Diceros bicornis minor: one gene and its partners. The protein of the gene in region 1 purifies or fractionates together with the protein of each later gene. This does not show direct contact. Links are inferred from orthologs where the notes say so. Each region holds a gene or a part of one and is shown in the gene's direction. Other genes may lie near its edges.

Region 1 (7,146 bases):
TGTCAACACCGAGTTCCGGCGGATCGACAAGTTTGCCACGGGGGCACCGGGAGCCCGTGTGATCGTGACGGACACGTGGGTGATGAAGGTGACCACGTACTGCGTGTATGTGGCCCAGCAGCAGGACGTGCATCTGACAGTGACGCAGTCGCAGCAGCACGAGCTCTCGCCGGACTCCAACTTGCCGGTGCAGCTCCTCACCATCCACGTGGCCAGCGCCAGCCCTGCCGTGCGGGCCTTCGACATCCGGTAGGCATGCCCGAGGTCAGGTGGGGGTGAGCCAGCCAGTGCCCAGGTTCCAGTCTTTGTGCCCCCCGGGAGGCGATGATGTGTGGAGCAGCCCCTGCAGCCATCCCTCCAGTGCCTCCCCCTCAGAGCCCCCACTGCACCCCCCAGGCCCCTCCCTGGCCCCCTCATCCCTTGCCCCCCTTGCGCCCCACAAGTACCCTTTCCTCTCTCTTTCTCCAAGCTCTTCTCTGAATCTGCCTTTTCAGCTTCTTTGGGGAGCATGTTGGGGACACTTGGTGGCTGTACAGGATAGACGCTTGGTGGCTGCCTCAGCTCTGAGGTCTGGGTTCTAGCTGAGGTCTTGTGTCCCATTCCAGCTGAGCTCTTGAGACACGTTTTGGGTCTGCTGAGGACCAGCCTTGCTGTGTTTCAGCTGCAGTTGGCCTGCCTTTTGTCTCTCTCTGCAGCCAGTGGGGTCAGGTGGGCAGTGCTGGGTCCGTGGGCTCTGGCCTCAGGGCCATCTCTGTTGGCTGGTTTTCATTGGACAGCTGGGCTGTGCCTGAGTCCCCATGTTCTGTGTGATTGTGGTGCCCTGGTCACCCTCGGGGCACAGCCTTGGCCTCCCTGCCACCTGCCCCAGGATCTGTGTCAGGTTGCCGGGAAATGATGGTCCTGCCCTGCCGAGGGGCCTCAGTCCAGCGGCCCCAGCCCAGCAGCCCCGCCTCCCTGCAGGCTGAACTCCACGGAGTACGGCGAGCTGTGTGAGAAGCTCCAGGCGCCCATCCGCAGCGCGGCCAACGTGGTCATCCGCCAGAGCCTGGGTGACCTGTTCCTGGAGACGTTTGCCTCTCTGGTGGCGGTCAACCCGGCCTACTCGGTTCCCAGCAGCCAGGTGAGGGGCTGGGCAGGGGTGGGCGGGGTCCCATAGCCCAGCTCCTATGGGCCAGGTCCCTGGGGTGGTGGGGGGCCCCATGGGGTCGTCTGGCCAGGCTCCCCGTGATCCCCTCGGCCCACCTGCAGGAGCTGGAGGCCTGCATTGGCTGCATGCAGACTCGTGCCAGTGTGAAGCTGGTGAAGACGTGCCAGGAGGCAGCTGAGGGCGAGTGCCAGCAGTGCTACTGCCGCCCCATGTGGTGTCTTACCTGCATGGGCAAGTGGTTCGCCAGCCGCCAGGACCCGCAGCACCCTGACACCTGGCTGGCCAGCCGCGTGCCCTGCCCCACCTGCCGTGCGCGTTTCTGCATCCTGGATGTGTGCGCTGTGCGCTGAGCTGGCCAGGCCCTGGCAAGGGAGCAGCCTTGGTCCAGGCCAGCCGTGCCAGGGTCCCCACAACTGCCTTGGGGAGCAGCCAGGCTCCCAGGCCCAGAGTTCTTCTCCCAGCGGGCAACTTGCCTCTGCTCTGAGGCTGTGGAAGTGCAAGGGCTCCTGTTTGGAAAGGAAGTTCCAGCTGAGGTCCTGGCACTGGCAGCAAGGAAGGTCTTGAGTGCCTCTGCTTCCTTCGCTCCCGTTTCTCTGGGTGGGGCTGTGCTGGGCACAGAGAACACAGCCTTGGGCCCATATCCAGAGCATTCTGGGCCTCCTGAGCTGTCTTCTGGGAGGTCCCAGTGTGTCTAACGTGAGCCAATTGCCTTATTTTTACGGAGCACACCTGCTTCTCAGTTACTTTTAGATCTAGATTCCTCTAAGACTTGGCCGAAGCCTTTCTTCCTGCTTCTGTCCCCAAGCCTGCTGCTGGCCCTGTGGTGTTCGCGCCCCCCGCCCCAGAGGCTGCTCTGAGCACTCAGGCAGAGCTTGCAGGTGCAGGGGGAGACCTGGGGTACTGCTCCAGGGTGAGAGCACTGCCTAGAGCTTCCCAGTGGCTGCAGCCAGCCAAGGGGTTGCTCTCTGCCCAGGGAGATCCTGGGCTTCCCCTCAGGGGCTGGGGGAAGGGCTGGCTGCTCTCAGCTGCAGCTCCCTTCCTGTGTGTTTCTGGGAGCCACCCGCTCCTGGAGGGGCGTGCACTTACATCTGCTGCTGCCCCCATGGGTTCAGGGAAAGGCCAAGCCTCAGACTCTTGGCCGAGCGTGGGTATTGAGCTGAAGATCAAGTGCCACTGAGACAGCCAACATCAGCCAACAAGCCTGTTGGGACACAGCGCAGGGCTGGCCACAGCCCCCCAGGGTCCATCTGTTTCAGGAGGGGACATGCCCAGTGGTCAAGGTGTGGACAGGTGTCTTCCCGATTCCTGGTGGCACAGTTGGCCAGGGGAGGGCAGTGCCAGTCCCCAGCTCTGACATATGTGGCTGCTGGAGGGGCCCTCGCTTGGAGCCCTGAAACCTGGGGCCTTAAGCACTCTAAACCTGGTCATCCTAAGCAGGGCTGATGGACCCGGCTGGCCTGGATTGCCCAAGGCTGCACTGAACCCCAGGGAGTTGGGAGCGGAGAAGGCCCAGATTTGTGTGCCCGCAGGGTGCTCAGCAGATGAAGGCCATCAGAGGGGCCAGCCAGGAGCCACCCTCAGCTTCAGCTTGAAGTTTTGGGTGCTGCCAAGGGAGGGCTGGGTCTGCGGTAATTTTTAGTACAAAAGAGTTACTTAGTTTTATGAAGATACACCTATTGCAGCAAAGCAATACATATTTAATAAAATGTTAGTCTGAACTTTATATTATCTCCAAACGGAATATTTTGGTTTTCTGGTATTCGAGCTTTCGTAAAGAGGAAAAGCCAACTTAGAAGTGGCAGTGTCGTGCCCACTTCAACGTGTGCGTTCTGTTCGGAACCAGAAGGGAGACGGGTGCTCCAGGAAGTTCCCTTCTAATTTCCTAGCTGGGGCGGGGGTCTCAAGAAGCCCATTTCTGGGGCACCTGCGGGAGTGGGCGCACTGGGCCTGGGCCTGGTGTTCCGGTGAAGGGGCTGCGGCCAGGGCTCTGGGGGCGGGGTCCGTGAGCAGCGCTCAGGATGCAGGAGCCCGCGGGTGCGGGGCCTGCTGGTTGAGGCCTCCGGCCCCGTGCTCGCGGCCGTGTCCCCTGAGGTGCCGGGTAGCCTGGGTGGCCCAGGAGGGCAGCCACACCCGGCCGCCCGGGATCTCGGCCGGGGGAGCTCCTCGACAGCGCCCTCGCTGCCCCCACGTCACTGCCAGACCCGAACGTTTTTAGGAAAGTGGTGCATATAACGGGCTGAAACACGACGGGCGGACTCGAGTTCTCTGCGGCTTCAGTGTTTGATTCTTGCCACTCGGGGCCTCGTCTCCTCTCTTCTGCACACGTTAGCATTTGACGGCATGAGGCCGGGCCAGGGCCCCGGAGATCGCGGTGTCAGCGCGGGAGGCGGCGCCGGAAACCGCGGGGGTGAGAACTGACGGGCCTCGCGGCGCGGGCATCTCCGCGCGAACAAGTTCCGGCCGAAGCTGAAGAGACAGCGCTGCGCGCGACCCGACGCTGCTCGCCTGCCTCCCCTTCCGGGTTCCCGGTTCCCGCCAGCGCGGAGACCGCCCCGCCGGGCCGGCCAATCGGAGTCCGCCCCCTCCTAACGCCCGCGGCGCGCGCGACCGAATCTCCCGCCAATACCCCTCCCTCGCCCGCGAAGGCGCGGCCGCCTCACGCCGGCGGGGCCCGCTTCTCTCGGCCTCCCCTCCGTCCCCGGCGGGCGGCCCTCCGCCTTCCAGCGGCGGCGTCGGGGCTGCGGTCGCCCCGGCCCGGGCCGCCCGCGAGGCGCGCGGCGGCGCCTCCCCCGCGGTGGCCGATGGTCGCGCCCGGCCTGGCGCGCGGGCGCTCCGGGGGCGGGGCCCGCGGCGCATAAAGGCGGCCGGGGCGGGGCGCGCGCAGTCTGTCAGCGCCGGCGCCGCGAGGAGGCCGTCGCCCGCGCCCGGACCCCGCGCCCCGCCTCGGCCCGCGCGCGCCATGGCCTGCCGGCCGCGAAGCCCCCCCCGGTGCGGGAGCCGCTGCGACGGCGACGCCAGGTGAGGCCGGGCCGCGCGCCGGGGGGCGGCCGGGCGGGGCCGGGCGGGGGTCGGGGCCGGGCGGGGCCTCGGGGCCCGTCCGCCCCTGACGCGGCCTCTCGTCGGCAGCCCGCCGCCCCCCGCGAGATGGAGCCTCGGCCGGAAGCGCAGAGCCGACGGGAGGCGCAGGAAGCCGGAGGACGCCGAGGGCCCCGCGAGGCCGGCGGGCGACCGCAGACCCGACAGGTGGGCCCGGCCCGGCCCGGCCGGCGAGGGGTCAGGCGATGCCCGGCGGGGCTCCCTCGGGCCGCCGCGGGCGGGGGAGGCGGGCATTGGGCCTTGGAGCAGTGTCGGCCTGTGGGTCACCCCCCTCCCGACTAGTCAAGTCCTGTGGATCATCTCCCTCCCCACTAGTCAAGGCCTGTGGGTCACCAGCCTCCCGATTAGTCAAGGCCTGTGGGTCACCAGCAGACTAGTCACAGCTGGTGGGTCACCCCCTTCCCGACTAGTCAAGGTGCTTGTGGGTCACATGTACACCTCTTCCCTAACTAGTCAAAAGCTGTGGGTCACCACCCCAACTAGTCAAGGCCTGTTGGCCACCTCCTCCCTACTAGTTAAGGCCTGTGGGTCACATGTACACCCGTTCCCTAACTAGTCGAGGCCTGTGGGTCACCACCAGACTAGTCAGGGTGCCTGTGCATCACTCCCCTGACTAGTCAAGGCGCCTGTGGGTCACTTCCCTTGAGTAGTCACAGCCTGTGGGTCATGTCCCAGATTAGTCAAGGCGCCTGTGGGTCACCACCCCTATCAGTCAAGGCTTGTGGGTTACCACCCTGACTAGGTCAAGGCCGGTGGGTCATCCTCCTGGCTAGTCAAGGCGCCTGTGGGTCGCTCCTCTGACTAGCTAAGGCCTGTGGGTCACCACCCCAATTAGTTAAGGTGCCTATGTGTCACAACACTTGATTAGCTATGGCTCCTGTAGGTCATGCAATGACTAGTTAAGTCACCTGTGCCTCACAGTGCTGGGTTAGTTAAGGCACTTAGGGGTTACCACACCTGACTAGTTGAGGCACCTGTATCTCACCACACTTGGCTAGTTAAGGCGCCTATGCCTCACAATGCTTGACGAGTCGTGGCATCTATGCCTCACAACACTTGACTAGTTAAGGTGCATATGCCTCACCACACGTGAATAGTTAAAGTGCCTGTGCCTCACCACGCTTAACTAGGTAAGGTGCTTGTGTGCCACGACGTGTCTGTGAGGTGCTTGAGGATCCTGTGATGTATCCCAGTGACGGGTGTCAACAAATACGGGTCTCAATCTCAGTGAGTGAGCCCTACTATGTTCCAGGGACAGCATCATGAGCTACTGTAAACTTAGAATATTCTAATGTAGCTAGTCAGGTTCATTCTTTTTTTTTTTAAACTTTTATTTTTCCTTCAAAGCCCCAGTAGATAGTTGTATGTCATAGTTGTACAGCCTTCTAGTTGCTGTATGTGGGACGCGGCCTCAGCATGACCGGAGAAGCGGTGCATCCGTGTGCGCCCGGGATCCAAACCCGGGCCGCCAGCAGCGGAGCGCGTGCACTTAACCGCTAAGCCACGGGGCCGGTCCCTAGTCAGGTTCATTCTTAACTGTCGACTTAGAGAAGTTAGGTATCTTACCAGAGTCACCAAAGGTGGATGCCAGGATGCAAACCCAGATTTAAGCTCCAGATCTGTCTTTCCATCCTCGTGCTCCCTAGGTACTTTCATTCTGATGAGCCTTTGTTGCGGCATTTATGTGTTTACTTGAGCATTTTCTAGGTTGGTCAGGGTGTTGGGGAGGTCAAGACACCTACCAAATGAGATTTCCATTTTTGTTGTGTCTGTACGCTAATGTGGGTGGGTCAGCAAGTCAGACAAGGTATTTCAGAGGGACACCGAGTGGCTGAAGAAAGAAGCAGGGGATCATGGTGGTGAAGGTTAGCGTGCTGTTCGGAGCCCATGGGCATTGAAGGCCTCGGTTGAGGGACCTTACGTCTGGTGACTGGGACGAAATGGGAGGTGGTCCCTGTGAGGATTCGCCTGCCAAGGCCCTCAGGTGGGGACATATTTGGCCTCTTTGGGACTGACTAGAGAGGGACGAGGGCAGGGGCAGCTAAGTTCAGGTGAAGGGAGTGGTGAAAAAGGTATGGTTCAGGTTAGACTTTTTTTTTTTTTTTTTTGTGAGGAAGATCAGCCCTGAGCTAACATCTGCTGCCAGTCCTCCTCTTTTTGCTGAGGAAGACTGGCCCTGGGCTAACATCCGTGCCCATCTTCCTCCACTTTATATGGGACGCCGCCTCAGCATGGCTTGACAAGTGGTGCGTCTGTGCACGCCCGGGATCCGAACCCAGGCTGCCAGCCGCGAAGTGCGCGCACTTAACCGCTACGCCACCGGGCTGCCCTCTCAGGATGGACTTTTTAAAGCAGGACTCGTAGTACTTGCTGTTGGGTTGGGGGGTGCAGAGAGGAGTCACGGATGACTCCAGTTTTTTAGGCCTAAACACCTTTGTTGCTTGTGGAACCATTTGCCAAGATGAAGGGAATGGGGATGGAGCAGACCTGGCACGGGGAAGGAATCAGTGGGTAGGCTTAAGAAACTTCTCAGACGAGCAAGAGAAGATATGAAGAAATTAATGGTGTCTAAGAGTCTTAATGGAGGAGACCACTCCTGTTAGGCACAGATGTGAATTATCAGCATATAAATGTGAGTTATCAGCGTATACGGATGGCTTTTAAAGATTGAGACTAGGTGAGATTATCTGGGAGGAGGTGTGAGTGTAGGAGAGGGCCTAGACAGCCCTGGGGATAGATGTGAAGAGAAGGTAATCAAACATTGTCATTGAGATGGAGCTCTGAGTCCTCCAGTGGTCTCCCATTTAGCTGAAGATAAAATGTTAAATCCTTATATTGCCTTAAAAGTCCTTTGTATCCCCACAAGTACTCCTCTAGCTCACCAGTCAGCCACCTGGGCCTCC
Region 2 (8,010 bases), on another chromosome or scaffold:
CCAAGTGCTGTCCCTTGTCATTCTTGCCGAGTATGGCTGTGTCTGAATCTCTCTCTCCTGGATTAAATTCCTCTGAGATGAAGGTTGCTTGTGGGCTTTTGTTTTATGGTAGAGGATTAGACCTCATGACTCTGAAGTTGTCTACCCTAGTTGTCTCTCATTTTTTCCCTTAATCCCACTTCTCTGGTTCAGGGAACCTCAAAAACCTGCTTTGTGGCAGTGGAGCTGGAGTCATCAGTAAGACCCTTACGTATCCCCTGGACCTCTTCAAGAAACGGCTGCAGGTCGGAGGGTTTGAGCAGGCCCGAGCTGCCTTTGGCCAGGTGAGCTGTCCCCCGGTCCCTGCCCCTCACTGGGCACATGAAGAACCAGGTCAGTTCCTGCCCATTGGGCAACATTAGGCCCTACAGCGCTTTGACCCCCGGCCTGTCCCCAGGGATCCCCAAGCACATGGGAAAGCCACACGCAAAGCCCTGTGTATAGTAGGCACTGTGGAAAGATCCAGGCAAAGGAAGCTTCACAGTGTCTGCTCTTAAAAAGTGTCCAGTTCAGTTTGGGATGAAGAGTATACTCACAATAGAAAGGTCCCCAAAATATTAAATAACATGGAGGAGACGCATTGGTGCATGGGGTGCTTTTTTTATGCTGTAGGTATTCCTGCAAAGGGGTGAATTTGATCAACTAAATTATATTTTAAATGCACTAGAAGAGTTTGTCATCCAAAGAATCCCTGTTGTAGGTAATTTTGTAATGTTAATAGACATTCCTTAGTTGGCTTCGATTTTCACATATTGGATTTTTATTCACGCCTTTTGGCACACTGATTTTGTGAAAGGCCTCGGTGGTGGGCAGTGGTAGAGTGGGGGTGGGGCAAGGGTGGGTAATCCAGGGCCTTCCCCCTGGGACCTGGGAACCTGGGATGTCAAGGCATGAAGAAACATGCCTGACAGATGTCAGAAGAGAGGGACACCATGGAATGGGAGACAGGGAAGAGAGAGAGTGCTCCTGACTTGGGGGAAGAGAAAGAATTGGGTTTATATTTGTAAGATATTTTCTTTCTAGAAAACTTTAGGGAAGTCAGATAGACAAAAAGAAAGATAAAAATCACCTGTAACTCCACCACCACCCACCCAGAGATCATCACACAGAATCTTTGGCTGTAGTTTTATTTCTTTGCATAAATAAATACATGTGTACATTTTAACAAAAATGGGGTTGTATACAAGGTGGTTTTTTTTTTTTTTTTTGGTGGGGAAGATTAGCCCTGAGCTAACATCTGTTGCCAATCCTCCTCTTTTTCCTGAGGAAGATTGGCCCTGGGCTAACATCTGTGCCCATCTCCCTCTACTTTATATGTGGGACGCCACCACAGCATGGCTTGACAAGCGGTGCATAGGTCTCAGCCTGGGATCCAAACTGGCGAACCCTGGGCTGCTGAAGCGGAGCGTGCAAACTTAACCACTACACCACCAGACTGGTCCCTATACAAGGTTTTATAACCTCCATTTTCCACTTGCCAACTTGTCCTGAAGAGACAGCTTGAATTTGAATAGGGAGAGTTGGTGAGAGCCCAGGACAGAGGAGGGAGGCCCTGTTCCTGATGGAGACTAGTGTGAGCCAGATTGGCTGGAGGTGGGCGGGGCCCGTGGGAGGACCAGTGGGGGATAAGGGCCGGTCAGGGAGGGAAGTTGAGGCCAAATGGTGGAATGCCCAGGCCGTGGAGCTTGGACTTGATTCTTTATAATGTTGTTGTCATCATTGTCATCATCATTGGAAGTGACTGAAGCTTTTGGAGGGGAGCAAGGCTTGAGTAGAGCTGTGCCTTGGGGACATGGGTCTGGCAGCAGTATGTGGTCAAGTGGAGAGGGCCAGGCTGTAGGGGTGGCACTGGTCAGGCTAAGAGCTAAGAAGGGGCAGATTCAGATCTGCTGCCCAAGGGGGACCAGGTGGGATGGGGTGAAGGGTCAGAGGTGCCTCTGGGAAGAAGGTCCAGAGCTCTCACTGGGTCCTTAAGAGCCACAGTCACTGGGAGCCTCCTGGGCAGGAAGGAGCTCTGTCCAGTGCTGATTTCCCGGCACTTCATCTGTTAGGTCTGAATTAGCCCACTTGGAAGAGAAAGAATGAGGTTAATGTATTCTCTGTGTTTTTTGCATTCATTCCTTCATCCAGCAAGTATTTATTGGAAGCTATGATGTGCCAGGTGCTATGTTGACAAAAGAATAGAGCCAGTCACCTCCTCTCTCCTTAACTGGAGTAACCTTCCTCTCCCCAGGTTCGAAGCTACAAGGGCCTGCTGGACTGTGCCAAGCAGGTGCTGCGAGAGGAAGGCGCGCAGGGCTTCTTCAAGGGCCTGTCGCCCAGCCTGCTGAAGGCTGCCCTCTCCACCGGGTTTGTGTTTTTCTGGTACGAGCTCTTCTGTAACCTCTTCCACCACATGAGGAAAGCAGACAGCTAGCCTTGAAGGCAGGAAGGGTGGCCTGAGGTCTACGGTGTCGTGTTGCACTGAGAGGTGCTGCCTGTTCCATTCCTTCAAGCCAGCTGTCTCGAGCTTGAAGAGCTGTTGGGAGCAGGGCAGCAGCTTGATCCCACCAGCTTGGACGCCACCAGAATGGCAAGGGGTTCCTCCAATCAAGAGCACGGGGAGAGCGCAGGACTTGGTCTGTGGGATCCCAACCATGCCAGTCGGAGGAGCTTGAGGTTGCTTCTCCTCTGTTTAGCCTACGCTTGCTCTAAAGGAAACAGCTGTCATCCTGCACATATTCACCCCGTCTGCCCAGAGAACACTCCTGGCTCTGGGTGGGGCTGCAGCTTGAGTGTGAGGGCGGGGATCAGGCCCTTTGCAGGGGTCTGGTCCCCACACTTGGGCTCTTATTCCCACCAACTTATTTAATAGACATTAAAGCTAAAAGCACATTCCTTATCTTACTCCTCCATCTTGCCTTCCAAATCCCTCCTCACATAGTTTGAGGGAAGGGATCCCTGCCTTCCTCAAATTCCATTTTTCTCGGTAGTTGCCTTCCTCAGGCAGCTTTGCTTCTGGTTCTGGGGGAAGAGTCCAAGCTGAACTGGTCACTTTATAAACACCCTGTGCCCAGATCTTCGTGTCTGTAAATGTCCCACTCAGGCTTCTCTCCCCCTGAGGCAGGACTGGTCATGGCCATGGGCCTCTAGGGAAAGCAGATACCAGCAGCCCCGCAAGAAGGGGGGAGATGCGCTGATGGGCAAGAGGTGTGGGTAGAGTTAGCAGCCCTTGTCCCCAGTCTACTGGGATCACTCCTCTTTCACGGGGGCTGGGTTAGCCCTCTTGGGTGGGTGGGAGCTTACAGCTGGGCCAGTTGGCATCAGCTGTCCGCTCAGGGTGTTCCTCCTCGGCTTAGCATGGTGCTGTATGTATCCTCTGTAACCCGAAAAGGGCCACACTCTGAAGCAGCCCAGTGAAGGGGCTGGTAGAAGGAAGGGGTTGGGCAGACAGCCTGGTGAGGGCACATTTGGTGCCCTGGGGAGTTGTCAGAGCACAGGAACCCACAACAGATCTTCATCTAGGCATAGAGGGGAAGGGGAGAAGAAAGTCTGCAGAACACAACTACCACCCTTTCCACCCCAGTGCTCCCCACCCCCGAAGGGAGCTTGGTCTTCAGCGTTGGTTCTACAGGGGGAGCCAGGCTGGAGTCCCATGCAGGACTTCCACTCCACCCCCACCTCTGGACTCTAGCTCCAGCCTTTGCACTGACTCACGAGGAAGGCAGCAGCTGGGAGCAGGCCTTGTGTGGGTGACATGGCCCTCGCTCCCCATGGATTCTGGGCTCCTTCTCCCAATGTTACTGCCCCATCTCTGGCCTGGGGGCTTGTGTTATGTCTGGGACCCTGAATCCTGAAGCTTCCCTCCTCTTGGCTGCTGATTATGAAGGTCCAGGCTGTGGCTGGAGGGCACTCCGACACCCACAGGGTTTGGGGCCCTCAAGGCCTGGGCTTGGGGCTGCTAAGAGGCAGCTGCCTGAATGTATTTTTTATAAAATTCAATTGAAGTAAACTTGATTCTCTTCATCTCTCCTGCTCATTGGTTTCTTTTGCTGCAGCTGAGAGTTCTCTTCCTCATCCATTGTCTGTGACCACTTTGGTGGCTTCTTTAACAGGGGGAGAGAACTTTGGCAACAGGAAACCGCCATCCACACTTCTTTCTTGTCTAAGCCATGGGAAGAGGCAGTTCTTTTCCAGCCCCTGCTGTATGCCCTCCTGCAACCTAGGGCCAACCTCAGGGATGGATGGCCCTGTCTGGGCTGCTGGGCCCGCACTCTCCCCCAGCCCCAGCCAAGAAAGACCGGGCCAGGGGCTTGCTCAACTTTAGGGTCACTCCCAGCTCCTCACGCGTCAGAAGTTGGCAACTGGGACCCTCTCTTGGTCTGGCCCATTGATTTCAACTTACTTTACCTGTATCGTTTGTACATTGAGTAGGAGAGGAGGTTAGTGGGACTTGATCCAGCCGTTACAGCCCCCCTGCCTTCTCTACCTTAGGGGATGGGAGTGGGGGGCACACCGCCACCACTTGTGAACTCCAGCCCTTCCAGCCATCTTCTCTGCCTCCTCCCCGCCTCCCGGACACCCCCACTCCGTGGTCCTGGGTGCGGACCACGCCCTCCACAGGTTTCTCCCACGCAGAGCGGCTGGGCCGAGTCTCCTCTTCTGACCCAATTTTAACCTGAGCCTCTGGCGTGAGGGCGTGGGGGGGGCGCGGTGCCACCGCTTAAGACTGAGGGCTTCAGGCGGGCGGAGGAGCAGGTCCGGCCCTGCGCCGACGAGCCGTTGTGGTCCTGGACAGACCCGGGGCGAGCCGGGTGAGGAGAGGGCAGGGCTGGCGAGGTCAGGGTCGCCGGGGCTCCGGCAGGGGGTGCTGGCGAGGCCGCCCCGCCCCGGCGCCGCGCTAGGAAATGACCTAAGCGGTGGCAAGGCGCGGCCGGCTGCACCAGCAGCGCCGCCGACGCGGGGCGCGCGCACCATGCCCGCCGGGCTGCCTCCCGGCACGCGGGCGCGGCGCTGGCCCGGCAGGTGGGTCTCGGCGCTCACGCCCCTTCTCCCGCCCGTGGGACACTGGACGGCGGCGTCCGCTACCGGCCCTGCGCCGCTGGGAAGGGCGTTCCGGGCTTAGGGAAGCTGCCCGGGTCTGGAGACCCCCAAGGTCGTCTCCTTTGACCGGGGGGACGCACCGAGTCCGGAGAGGGGACTCTAACGGGGACTACCTCTGGAGGACACGTCATCCCGCTCCCCTCTTTACAAGGAAGGGTCCAGAATGGAGCTCAGGAATTGGGAGTCCTGACTGGGCAGGGCCGGGTTCTTGCCACTTGGGAGGCCAATTTAACCAGTCCGTCCTGCGGAGAAGCTGGCCAGGACAGGGGGAGTTCGGGCTCGCCCGTCCGTGGGGCGGCAGAGAAGGCTCCTGCACCCACCCGGGCAGGCTGGCCCCAACCCGAGTGCTGGAGGGGTGGGTTTTGTGGACTGCGAAGGACTCGGACTGACGCTGAGGGAGAAGCTCGGGGAGAGAGGCTTGGAACCCTGGTGAGACAGAGCTGTCGGCAGCTTAGAGCCCCCAGCCTTTTCTCTGTCCCGGAATCGTGCTGGGCCAGCAGCTTCCAGGCCGGTTTATATAGGTAGGGCAAGTGTCTAATATCCACCTATCTACACCCCCAGCTCACCGCACGCCACCGCACCCCAACCTTGGTATCAGCTGGGAATAAGTCTGCCTCCTGTTGGGACAGGCACATTTCGCCCTTCATCTCTTTACTCTTATGTAATCCCAGAAACTACAGGGGTTCCTAAACTGAGCAGCAGGTGCCTGGCTGGTGGCCAGTCTCCACAGGAAGCCAAGCTTGGTGGACTCTCAGCCAACCACTGAATGTCATGAACCTCCCAGGAGCACCTGTCCCAAGCGCTGGTCAGCCCCACCCAGGGCCTGCAGGACTGGGAACCCCAGCCCCATGCTGCACACCTGAGTCCTCTCCCTTCACCTCTCCTCCCCAGGTGCTGTCATTAGTCCCACCCCAGTAAAGAGCTGCTGGGGCTGGATGGTCATGGGGGAGCCTGGTAGAGAGGAGTATAAAATCCAATCTTTTGATGCAGAGACCCAGCAGCTGCTGAAGACAGCAATCAAAGGTGAGCATGGGGAGCCCTCCTGAGCCTGGGTCCAGTGCTGCAGAGAAGGGGCCAAGGGGACAGGACTAGAGGACTGAGCCCTAGGCCAGGAATGCCCAGCCCTCTCCCTTCGCTTTCGGAGGAGTCGGCAACATAATTCTCGAACTGGAAGACAAGCTACATTTAGGCCAATATTTGGGAGTATGAATCAGAGTCACCTCTCAGACTGTAAAGCCTTTTTTAAAGTTTAAGTACCCATGAAAGGGGTAGGGCACAGAGAACACAGTTCCTGCCCCTTAAGTCCTTATATCGGATCTGGTTTTTGCGTTGCTGCAGTCAGCTCTCTTGAATGTGCAGAGCTGCCTGACTTGGGACAGAGGATGGAGTGTTCTGCTTGGCAGAGGAGATACAGTAATTGTCCTGGACCGATGCCTTCCTGCAGCACTCAGGACAGAAGGTTGACTCAGCTAACAATTAGCCATGCCCATCAAGTGCCAAGTGAGCCTATGGGACGGGAGGCCCTGCCTGGCCCACTTTTGTCAGGGGTTCATGTGTGTGTATTATAAGAACACTTTCTTCCATAAAATTGCTGTTGAAGACATTGTTTTTTGGTGCTTCTTCCTCAACCTACTGGCAGGAAAAGATGTGTGTCCTAAAAAACTAGCATTTTTACTTTGATTAGTCTCTAACAGCCACATTATCTTCCATTTCCTCTGACTGGGCCACCAGGAGGCTCACAGCTAGAGCTGCTCTTGTGTGGGGTTACTGTCCCCCTTCCCTGTTTTCTGGTCTCTTTCAATGTAAGCATATAATGGGAGTGCTCTTTGCTCTTTTGTAAACATCTCAAATCCTTCTGAAAAGCAGGTAGAGGGGCCGGCCCTGTAGCCTGGTAGTTAAGTTTGCGTGCTCTGCTTTGGCAGCCCGGGGTTCACAGGTTTGAATCCCGGCATGGACCTACACACCACTTATCAGGCCATGCTGTGGCAGGCATCCCACATAAAATAGAGGAAGATGGACACAGATGTTAGCTCAGTGCCAATTTTCCTCAGGAAAAAAAGAAAAAAAAAGCAGGTAGAGGCAAATATGATAATTAAACAGCTCTAGACTCCGTGCCTATCTTTACCCTAGATCCAGGTGCTGTGGACTTGGAAAAAGTGGCCAATGTGATTGTGGACCATTCTCTGCAGGACTGTGTGTTCAGCAAAGAAGCAGGACGCATGTGCTACGCCATCATTCAGGTTGGGTGGGGTTGGCAGAGAAGAGGGGAGATGCTTTGAGGAAGGTGCTTCAGGAGTGGGCAGAGACCTGGCCAGCAGGGGAGAGATGCAAAGGGCTTCCCTCAGAGGCAGAGAAAGGAGTAGGACAGGCAGGTCCTCAGCCGTGGTAGCTTGGGTGGGGTTACAATGGCACCGCCCCCAGCCACTCACGGTCTTTTCCCTGACTCACAGGCAGAGAGCAAGCAAGCAGGCCAGAGTGTCTTCCGGCGTGGACTCCTCAACCGGTTGCAGCAGGAGTACCAGGCTCGGGAGCAGCTGCGAGCTCGCTCCCTGCAGGGCTGGGTCTGCTATGTCACCTTTATCTGCAACATCTTTGACTACCTAAGGGTGAGGCCCCAGCAGCCCCCCTGTGCAGCAGAACGGCCTGTCTGCCACAGCCACTAAGCCAGTGCTCTGGCCCCCGCTCTCCCCCTACAGGTGAACAACATGCCCATGATGGCCCTGGTGAACCCTGTCTATGACTGCCTCTTCCGGCTGGCCCAGCCCGACAGTCTGAGCAAGGAGGAGGAGGTGGGTGGCCCTGGCACGGAAGGCTGTGGAAGTGGGCAGTCTTTGGCTCAGCTCAGAATGCCAGCACACTGGCCATGGAGGCTTTTGAGGGCATCACTTC
Region 3 (7,997 bases), on another chromosome or scaffold:
CACCGACTTTCACCCTAGAGGATCACTTTACACCTGCCTTTTAGGTGTAGGTTTTGGGGGTTGTATGGCGGAAGCTGAGATGAGGCCTGGGTGAAATTCAACCTGGTTCTATCAAGCCATTATCTCTCCAGGCCAACACCACAGTAACAGAGCGTAGACACTAGACCGGTAACTTCCTTCCTTCTGCAGGGTCGATGGACACCAAACTGATGCTGATGAGCCCATTCTCTGGTTTCCACCTAAAGATAACTTCTGCAATGCCTCCCAGGTCAATGCTACAACATAGGGATTTAGGCCACTGCTGACCTCCTCCTGATGGGAAGTTACAAGTGGATCTAGTCCCACTTTCCTCCCAGAAGCCTTCTCTGACCATTCCAGCCTACCAGGAACTTTTTGTTCCCTTAAAATCACCCTCACACAGTATAGCACTTCGTCAGTTTCCCTATTATATCATGGCTGCCAGCCTGGTCTCCTTAGCTCCTGAAGGCAGGTAATTTTTCTCCCCTTGCACTCTGGTAGGCTCCCACTGTCACCTAGAGAAGTCCTCAAAACATTTTCCATGTCTAATGCTTTGTTTTTAAGTTGTGCTTGCTTATAGGAACCAAGGCAGAACATTGCCAGATGGCCAAACTGCAGAACCAGTCCAAACCAGAAAGGTCCAAGATGGCGACAGGGTGCCCTTGGCAAAAGCAACCGCGTGCAAAAGTGCCACGTGCAAGGAGGGAAGATCTGCGCATGCCCCAAATGCCCCTGCCCGAGCAATGACGCAGAGGCCCCTCCCCCTTCACATCCCATAAGAACCCTGGTCACCTTGAAGAGAAGGTGTCTTAGAGCGTGAGCTCTCCTTCTCCGTATTCCTTGATCAACGAGTAGTTTCTGCTCTGCTATTCCGAACCCGGTCTCATTCTATTGGCACGAGCGGCTCTGGGCAAAAGGACCCACTTGTGGGTCACCGGTCCCTTAGGGCTCAGTAACACCATCAGGCCTTCAATAAACATTTTGACTGATGGAGGAAAAGCTGGTAGGGAGAAGGAGAAAGAATGGGAAGAAAGGAGAAATAGTTCTTTTTGCTATATACTAGCAAGATACTTGCTACTATCTTAGGCAAGTGTGAATTAGGGAAATCAACTGCTTAAAACAGAGAGAAACAGTCTGGCTGTTAATTTCTAGGCTATGCAGTGACAAGTCAGACAAAGTCAACTCTTGGCAACTCAAGTCTTCCACAATTAAACCAATGCAGTGTCATTTCACTAATTCTGCACCCAGTGGCTCCTCTGACCTAAGCCTGCAGGTTGGGCATAAGATCAACCACAAAGCAGAGAAGGAAGGACAACAGATGAGGGACAGAGTAAGCTCCAGGCCTCCCACCCTGGGAAATTTTAGGGACCCACAGTCTTCCTTCAAAGACCCCATTCCAGCCTAGAATCCCCATCATCAGAGGCCATTTCAGAGAGATGGCAATAAGAAGACAAAAATGTTGGGGTTGGAGGGGAGAATGAAAAGACTATCTCATCATAGTTAGTGAAGGTTTATTAGACTGGACGTAAAGCAGAAGCCAGGCTCTGAGTATATGGAGAGCAGGAGGTAAGTTTCGATGGGTGGGGAGAAGCAGTGTGGGCCGGAGACACTGCCCAGAGAAGGCACCTTGGGTGGGGTAACACTATGTGGTCCTTGGGTAGCAGGGCGAGGAGGAGAAGAGCATAAGCACTGTTAGCTGGTGAGGATTTAGAAAGCTGGGCCAGCTGAATGTGAGAATTAGAACTGGGTGAAGTTTCCTTGAAGACAAACCTAACCTACTTCATATGAAGATGAGTCCCACCCCAGGAATCCTCCATGCAGCACCAGCTCTGCTGGCCTGACTCTGCAGAAAGAGAAGTTCAGGGATCATTCTCCTGGCCCAGAAAGACTCTGGGAGGAGGAAAGGAATCAGCTATCACCAAGCACTTGCTATGTGACAGAGCCAGTTTAAATGCATTATCACTATTGGTTCTCACAAGGCCAAGAAAGGTTGTTAAGCTGCCCAAGGTCACCTGTTCGGAGGCTAAGTAAGCTGCCCAAGGTCGCAGATCCAGGAAGTGCCACACCTGAGATTCAAACCCAGGGGTCAGGCTCTGCAGTCTGTGTTGCTCCCACTGGCCGTGTCACCCCAGGTGCACCCCTCACACAGATGCATGTACTCTCCACCAAGGTTTTGCTTTCTGCACATTGCTCAGCCTCTCTCCACCTCCAGCGTGGATCCTCTCCTCACCTCTGGGATGTGATTTAAAGCAAAGGCAAAACCAAGACCTAGACAATTCCATTGTTGTTTTTTTGCAGGTGGCGGGCCTCTCGCACAATGTGCAAAACAGCACAAAAGGCAGGTAAGTGGGAATTTGCAGAGTGGATAGACTCTGGTACTATTATTTTATATTTTGTAAACCCAGGAAATCATCCAGATGTTAAAGCATAAAAATAACACACTGCTGAGTCAATGAACCATAAATGCTAAGAGCGACAAACCAGCGGGAAGAGTCAGGTGTGCTCAACTATGTTCCTTTGGCAGGGGGACTGGGCCTGCTACCCAGACAACTGGCTCCCAGTACCCATTCTGCCTCTTACCAGTGCATGACAGTGGGCCTGCTGCCTTCCTCTAGAAGGGAGGGGATGACACCTCCATGCCCTTTGGTACAGTCGTCTCCCTTATTTGTGGTTTCGCTTTCCGAGGTTTCAGTTACCCACGGTCAACTGTGGTCTGAAAATATTAAATGGAAAATTCCAGAAATAAACAATTGATAAGTTTTAAATTGCACAGGTTCTGAGTAGCGTAATGAAATCTCGCACCGACCGGCTCCGACCCACCCGGGATGTGAATCCTCCCTTTGTCCATCGTATCCACGCTGTACACACTACCTGCCTGTTAGCCACTTAGTAACCCTGTCGGTTATCGAATCAACCTTGGCAATATCGCAGTTCTTGTGTTACAGTAACCCTTATCTTAATAATGGCCCCAAAGCACAAGAGTAGTGATGCTGGCAATTCCGATATGCCAAAGAGAAGCTGTAAAGTGCTTCCTTTAGGTGAAAAGGTGAAAGTTCTCAACTTAATAAGGAAAGAAAAAAAATCATATGCAGAGGTTGCTAAGATCTATGGTAACTTTTATTACAGTGCATTGTTATAATTGTTCTATTTTATTCTTAGTTATTGTTGTTAATCTCTTGCTGTGCCTAATGTATGAATTAAACTTTATCATAGGTGTGTATGTACAGGAAAAAACATAGAATATACAGGGTTCGGTACTGTCTGAGGTGTCAGGCATCCATGGGGGGGTGTTTCCTCCAGTATCCTCTGTGGGTAAGGGGGGACTACTGTACAAGAATCAAATGAGCTGCCCTATAGGATGTGACTGTGATGGTGTTTTGCTTTCCTTCCCTGGTTTGGCTCATGCTGAGCCTCAAGCCTGGAAGACAGGCTCCCCACACAAAATGAAATCCCACCCATCCTTCAAGGCCCACTGCAAGCCTGTCCTCCAGTGAGAAGCTGTCCCAGGCTCCTTCTGCCCTCTAGACTCATCCTCCACCTCTGCCCCCCATCCATCTACCCTTCCGCCCTGCTGAATTACTAGGACTCTCAGAATTCGCTCTCTTCTCGCTCATCTGGATCCTTTATACTCTGTAGCCTTAGTCAGATGCCTACCCTTCCTTTTTGCCTTTGTTAAAAATCTTAGCAATTCTTAGCTCAAGTACGGCCTCCTCCCGAAAGCCTTCCCAGACCCTCTCCCACACCCACCCACCCTCCATCCAGGTTGGCTGCTCCTCCTAAGGGCTCCCTAGCACTTTACGCTTATCCCTATGTTCAATGCTGACTTATCCCTTATACTTTCATTGACTGTGGTCCCTACACTAGACTTTGAGCTCCTTGAGGGCAGGGACTAAGGGTCTTACTTGTCTTGGCATTCCCAGACACATCCAGTCTGTGGAAAGTGCCCACCAAATGTTATATGAATTAATAAGTGGATTTCTAAGGCAGTTATACTGTGTCACACAGTTCCTCCAATGACTGTATAACCCCTTTGCTTGCAGGGGTGTCCAGCATGGTATATTTCTCCTGAAGGCCTCTCTGTGCCAAGCTCAGTGGCTGGCACCTAGTAGGAAGTCTGAAAACATTGGTGATTTGATTAAGTGATTACTGAATTATCCATTGCATTGAATTCTCCCAGCCACCTCGTCGTCCCCCGTCCCAGCCCTTAGCATGGCCAATGGAAAATTAATTGGTTGCAAAGTGCATATCTAATTACAACATCCCGCCCCTGCCACGGAGATGTTCAAATGTTAATTATAACATATGCATCTCAATAACAGACGTTAGCCTTTAATGCAGCATTAATAATGCCACTTGGGCCGCCCGGTGCATACACAAAGCTTCCTTTTCTCTGCCATTAGGACAGACTTTGCACTTGAAGCTCGGAAGTCCTCATCTTTAAAGCTTTCCAGCCCCTAAAACTAAACGTTTCCCTGCAATCCTGGACAGCGCCTAAAACCCCAGTTCTCCCAGCGCAGAGGCCCCCACCCCAGCGTCCTGGGGGAGCGAGCGTAGGGCGGCAGGTTTCGGCGTCGCTCGGCTGAGCTGTCGCGGCTGCTCTGGCTGCATCCCCGGCGTCCCGGCGGCGCCCGGCTCTCCAGGGCCCGCCATCCTAGGAAAGAAAGGCGAACTACATTACCCAGCAGGCCTCCCGCCGCCCTCTTTCCTTTCAAGTCTTTGCACGTGGCCGGAGGGGAGGGTGGGGCCTGGACGTCACTCTCCTACATTCTCTTTCCCTGTGTCAGAGCAGGGTTCATTTTTTTTTCCTTCCTCTACTCCCTCCCCCCCACCCGCCCCTCCCTCCCTCTTTCCCTTCCCTCCCTCCCTCCCCTCTCGGCTGGGTTTGTGCGCTGGGGCGCCCGATCCCCTCCGCAGCCGGGACGCGCGGAACTCCAGGCAGGAGTCGGCTCTTCCGAGCCTTCTCCCTCCCTTCCCCTTCCCTGCCCCCTCCCCCCACCCCCCGACTCGGGCTCGGAGCGGCGGCCGGAGGAACCCCGAGGTGAGCATCCCCTCGTCTGCCCCCCTCTTTTAGTCATCTCAGCTTGCCCATCGATTCGGGGACCCGGGAGGAGGGCTGCGTGACGTGCGCGTGCTTATAGATAAATCCGGGAAAACCGCCCCAAACAATTAGCCCCCTTCCCCCCTTCCTGCGCCGGGGCAGCCGGGCGTCCGCGCCCATCCACCGTCCCCCACTCTCTTGAGGACGGCACTCCATGATCTCGCCCGCTCCCCAGGTTAGCCTCTTCCCTGCCGGGTTCCCTGCCCCGAGGGCAGCCGTCGCCCTGGAGCTCCGGTGAGGAGGGGGGTTCTTGGGGGGCGCACGGCTGGAGCCCGGCTCGCGTTGGAGCCGCGCGGTGTGGCCGCTGTCATGTGCCGGGTTCCGACCCGGGGGGAGGTAGAGAGCGAGCGTGATTCCTCTCCCTTTTGTTTTGACGCCCGCATTTGCTGCATCGAGCAGTTGGTTAGTACCAGCCAAACTTGCAGCTGTTCTGACTGCGCTCCGCTGAGGTAGGGAGCGCGGCTCGGGGGCTCAGGGCCGGAGGCTGCTGCACTCGCGGCTGCCGGAGAGACCCCGAGAGAGTGTCTCCACGCCGCCCCTCCCTCCTCCGGTGACTGATTGTGTCTGTGGCAGCGGCCGTGTGTGTGCGCGCCCGTCCCCGCGGGCGCGGGGATGTCTGTCGTCTAGACAGGCTGCACCCTCCCTCCGTCCCCGGCGAGCCCGCGGGCCGCGGGGGGCGCGGGGGATGGGAGCAGAGGAGGAAACCGGATCGGTGGAGCTATTGCTGTCGCTGCTTTGGACATTCCCCACGGTGGTGATTCTGTTGGCATTTTTATTATTATTCCCGTCGCCGCGGTGTAATTGGGCCTGGGGAATAGGTCCGCCTGGCGGATTGGGGGTTAAGTTGACAGGCTCTGAAAAGCTAGCTCGCGGTGGCGAGTGACCCGAGCGGCCGAGGGTGGGCTCTGGCTTGGGTTCTTCGGGATGACGAGCAGGTGACTGTCCCGGACGCCGGTAGTGGGGGAGGGTGGGCAGGGGGCGGTGGCTCGGTCTGCGGCGGAGGTCTGGGGCCCCTGAGGGCCGCGTGCCCGAGCCTGGGTGCGACTGGAGAAGGGGTCCCGGGTACGGCGCGTCTGAGCTGGTTATTTCTCTCCATTGACGTTAGAAGACAATCGAAGGTCTGAACCCCTCATCTGGGCGGCGTTGGCTGTTTGGTTTCGTTGAGTTTTGGGGCTGGGGGCACAGGTGTAAGCAGGGAGGGTGGTGCGGCGTGTAGAGGGGAGGGATGTATGGCGGCGCCGCGTGCGTTCCCACCCCGGGGAGTGAGGCATCGCCTCCCCCGCCCAGCTGTTTGTGTGTACACACCGCTCTGGCGTGTATGTGTGGGGGGCGGGGACCGCAGACCGCTGCGTAGTGGGGACGCGCGTGGGCCCCGATCCCCCGCGGGGATTGGCCCTGCCAGCCCCCTCGTGGCGCCAGTTGAGCTCGTCGTCGTGTGTGTGTCCGCGCGCGCGCGCACCCTGGTTACTTGGAGAGGGGGTCATGAGACTGTGGGCCGGGGGAGACTCCGGCGTTGTATGTGAGCGGGGTCCCTCAGGGAGTCCCCGTCCTGCCCTGCAGCCAGAGTCACACTATTCCTCACTCCGCGTCCCCGACGCCCCCTGACCCCGAGGACTGGCCGCCTCCTCGGCGGCGCGGGGGGCTGGTCTGGCTGGGCCGGCAGGAGCCGCGGGCGCGCGCGTGTCGCCGCCGCCCGCCGGACACGCTCGGGGTGACCCTTGCACCGGGGCGCTCTGTGGGTGCGCGTGCCCGTGCGCCCGCCGCTGCCTGCGCAGACCTTGGAGAGAATCAGCGCGCTCTGCGACCCGGCTCCCAATTCTTGGTTCTGGAGACAGTGGGGATCAAAGGCTGCCCGGCCGCCCCGGCCCGGGCCCAGCCTGGCGTTGCCGCCTGCGCCGCTGTCCAGTGTCCAGCGGGCCGCCAGCCTTTGCCCTCTCGGCCGGCGCTCGGTCTCTCCGGTCGGGGGATTATCTCCCAGGCTAGGGGCCCGCGCGCGAAGGGAAGAAGCCGCTGGAGCTGCCCGCTCCACGGCAGCTGAAGACTCCAGAGGGCGAAAGTGACACAGCACGAGCGCCGCCGCTGCCGCCACCCGAGCTGGAGGAGAAAGGAAGGAGCCGCCCAGAGGGCGGGGAGGGGCCGGGGCTGTCGGGTCCCGGTTCCTCCTGCCCAGCGCCGGGTCTGGGCCGAAAACCTCAGGAATCTCGGCTCCGAGCATGCTCTGACCGCGCGAGGAAGTTGCCTGGCTTTCAAGAAAACCCAATTTTACGGGAACAGAATGCACCGAGCAGACGATAGAAGATGTCCAGTCCCTCACAGGATGCACTCAGGTTGCCTGAGGAAACTCCCTTTGAGTATTTGAAACAGGATTCGGTTTACACACAGCTCATCTCATCGGCTGTGTCAAGTGTCTGTCCTGGATAATGTACGCTTAGAGACAGTAATTTTGTAACTCATTCTGGGGTACAGTGTCATCAGTGATTAAGAGATTGCTAGAATAATAATATGTTTGTATGACTTTACAGGGCAGTTTTTTTCTCCTTGTATGATCACATTTATTAAGACGGTCCTGTCAGGTAGGGGGGGTATTAGTCTCATTTTACAGATGAGCACACTGAGGGTCAAAAAGTGCCCTGATTGCCTAAGGCCTCTCAGTAGAGGAAGGGCTGCTCCCCCACCCCCACCCTTTCTGATTTCTCTTCTGCCCTATGGCTTTTTATTTAAATAGTGACCAGTTATTTTTTTTTTTTTTTTTGGAGAGTAGGTCTTCACACCTCAGGAGGTACTGAACCTGAGAAAGGGGGTAAATTATGCTGGTATTTATTCTTTGTCAAAACACTTTTCATTTGCTACTAGTTCCTAATGAGAATAGCCACTAAAGAAC

The links.
Region 2: the proteins of SLBP (region 1) and MIF4GD purify together in Homo sapiens (affinity purification with western blotting; 3 studies listed by BioGRID and IntAct, with this or other methods). This does not show direct contact. The link is inferred for Diceros bicornis minor from reciprocal best matches to the Homo sapiens genes SLBP and MIF4GD.
Region 3: the proteins of SLBP (region 1) and CTIF purify together in Homo sapiens (affinity purification with western blotting; 3 studies listed by BioGRID). This does not show direct contact. The link is inferred for Diceros bicornis minor from reciprocal best matches to the Homo sapiens genes SLBP and CTIF.

The regions. Positions count from the first base shown.
Region 1 is NC_080747.1:1,095,582-1,102,727, reverse strand, and holds the start of SLBP (histone RNA hairpin-binding protein), read left to right. Parts: upstream 1-4,081; 5' UTR 4,082-4,106; coding exon 4,107-4,165; intron 4,166-4,273; coding exon 4,274-4,390; intron 4,391-7,146. Other genes in the region: TMEM129 (E3 ubiquitin-protein ligase TM129), read left to right, coding at 1-249, 961-1,120, 1,249-1,497. UniProt on the Homo sapiens protein: RNA-binding protein involved in the histone pre-mRNA processing.
Region 2 is NC_080757.1:55,775,970-55,783,979, reverse strand, and holds the start of MIF4GD (MIF4G domain-containing protein), read left to right. Parts: upstream 1-4,967; 5' UTR 4,968-5,043; intron 5,044-6,012; 5' UTR 6,013-6,056; coding exon 6,057-6,144; intron 6,145-7,251; coding exon 7,252-7,361; intron 7,362-7,571; coding exon 7,572-7,727; intron 7,728-7,817; coding exon 7,818-7,910; intron 7,911-8,010. Other genes in the region: SLC25A19 (mitochondrial thiamine pyrophosphate carrier), read left to right, coding at 193-323, 2,273-2,455. UniProt on the Homo sapiens protein: Functions in replication-dependent translation of histone mRNAs which differ from other eukaryotic mRNAs in that they do not end with a poly-A tail but a stem-loop. May participate in circularizing those mRNAs specifically enhancing their translation.
Region 3 is NC_080755.1:41,178,923-41,186,919, forward strand, and holds the start of CTIF (CBP80/20-dependent translation initiation factor), read left to right. Parts: upstream 1-4,903; 5' UTR 4,904-5,056; intron 5,057-7,997. UniProt on the Homo sapiens protein: Specifically required for the pioneer round of mRNA translation mediated by the cap-binding complex (CBC), that takes place during or right after mRNA export via the nuclear pore complex (NPC).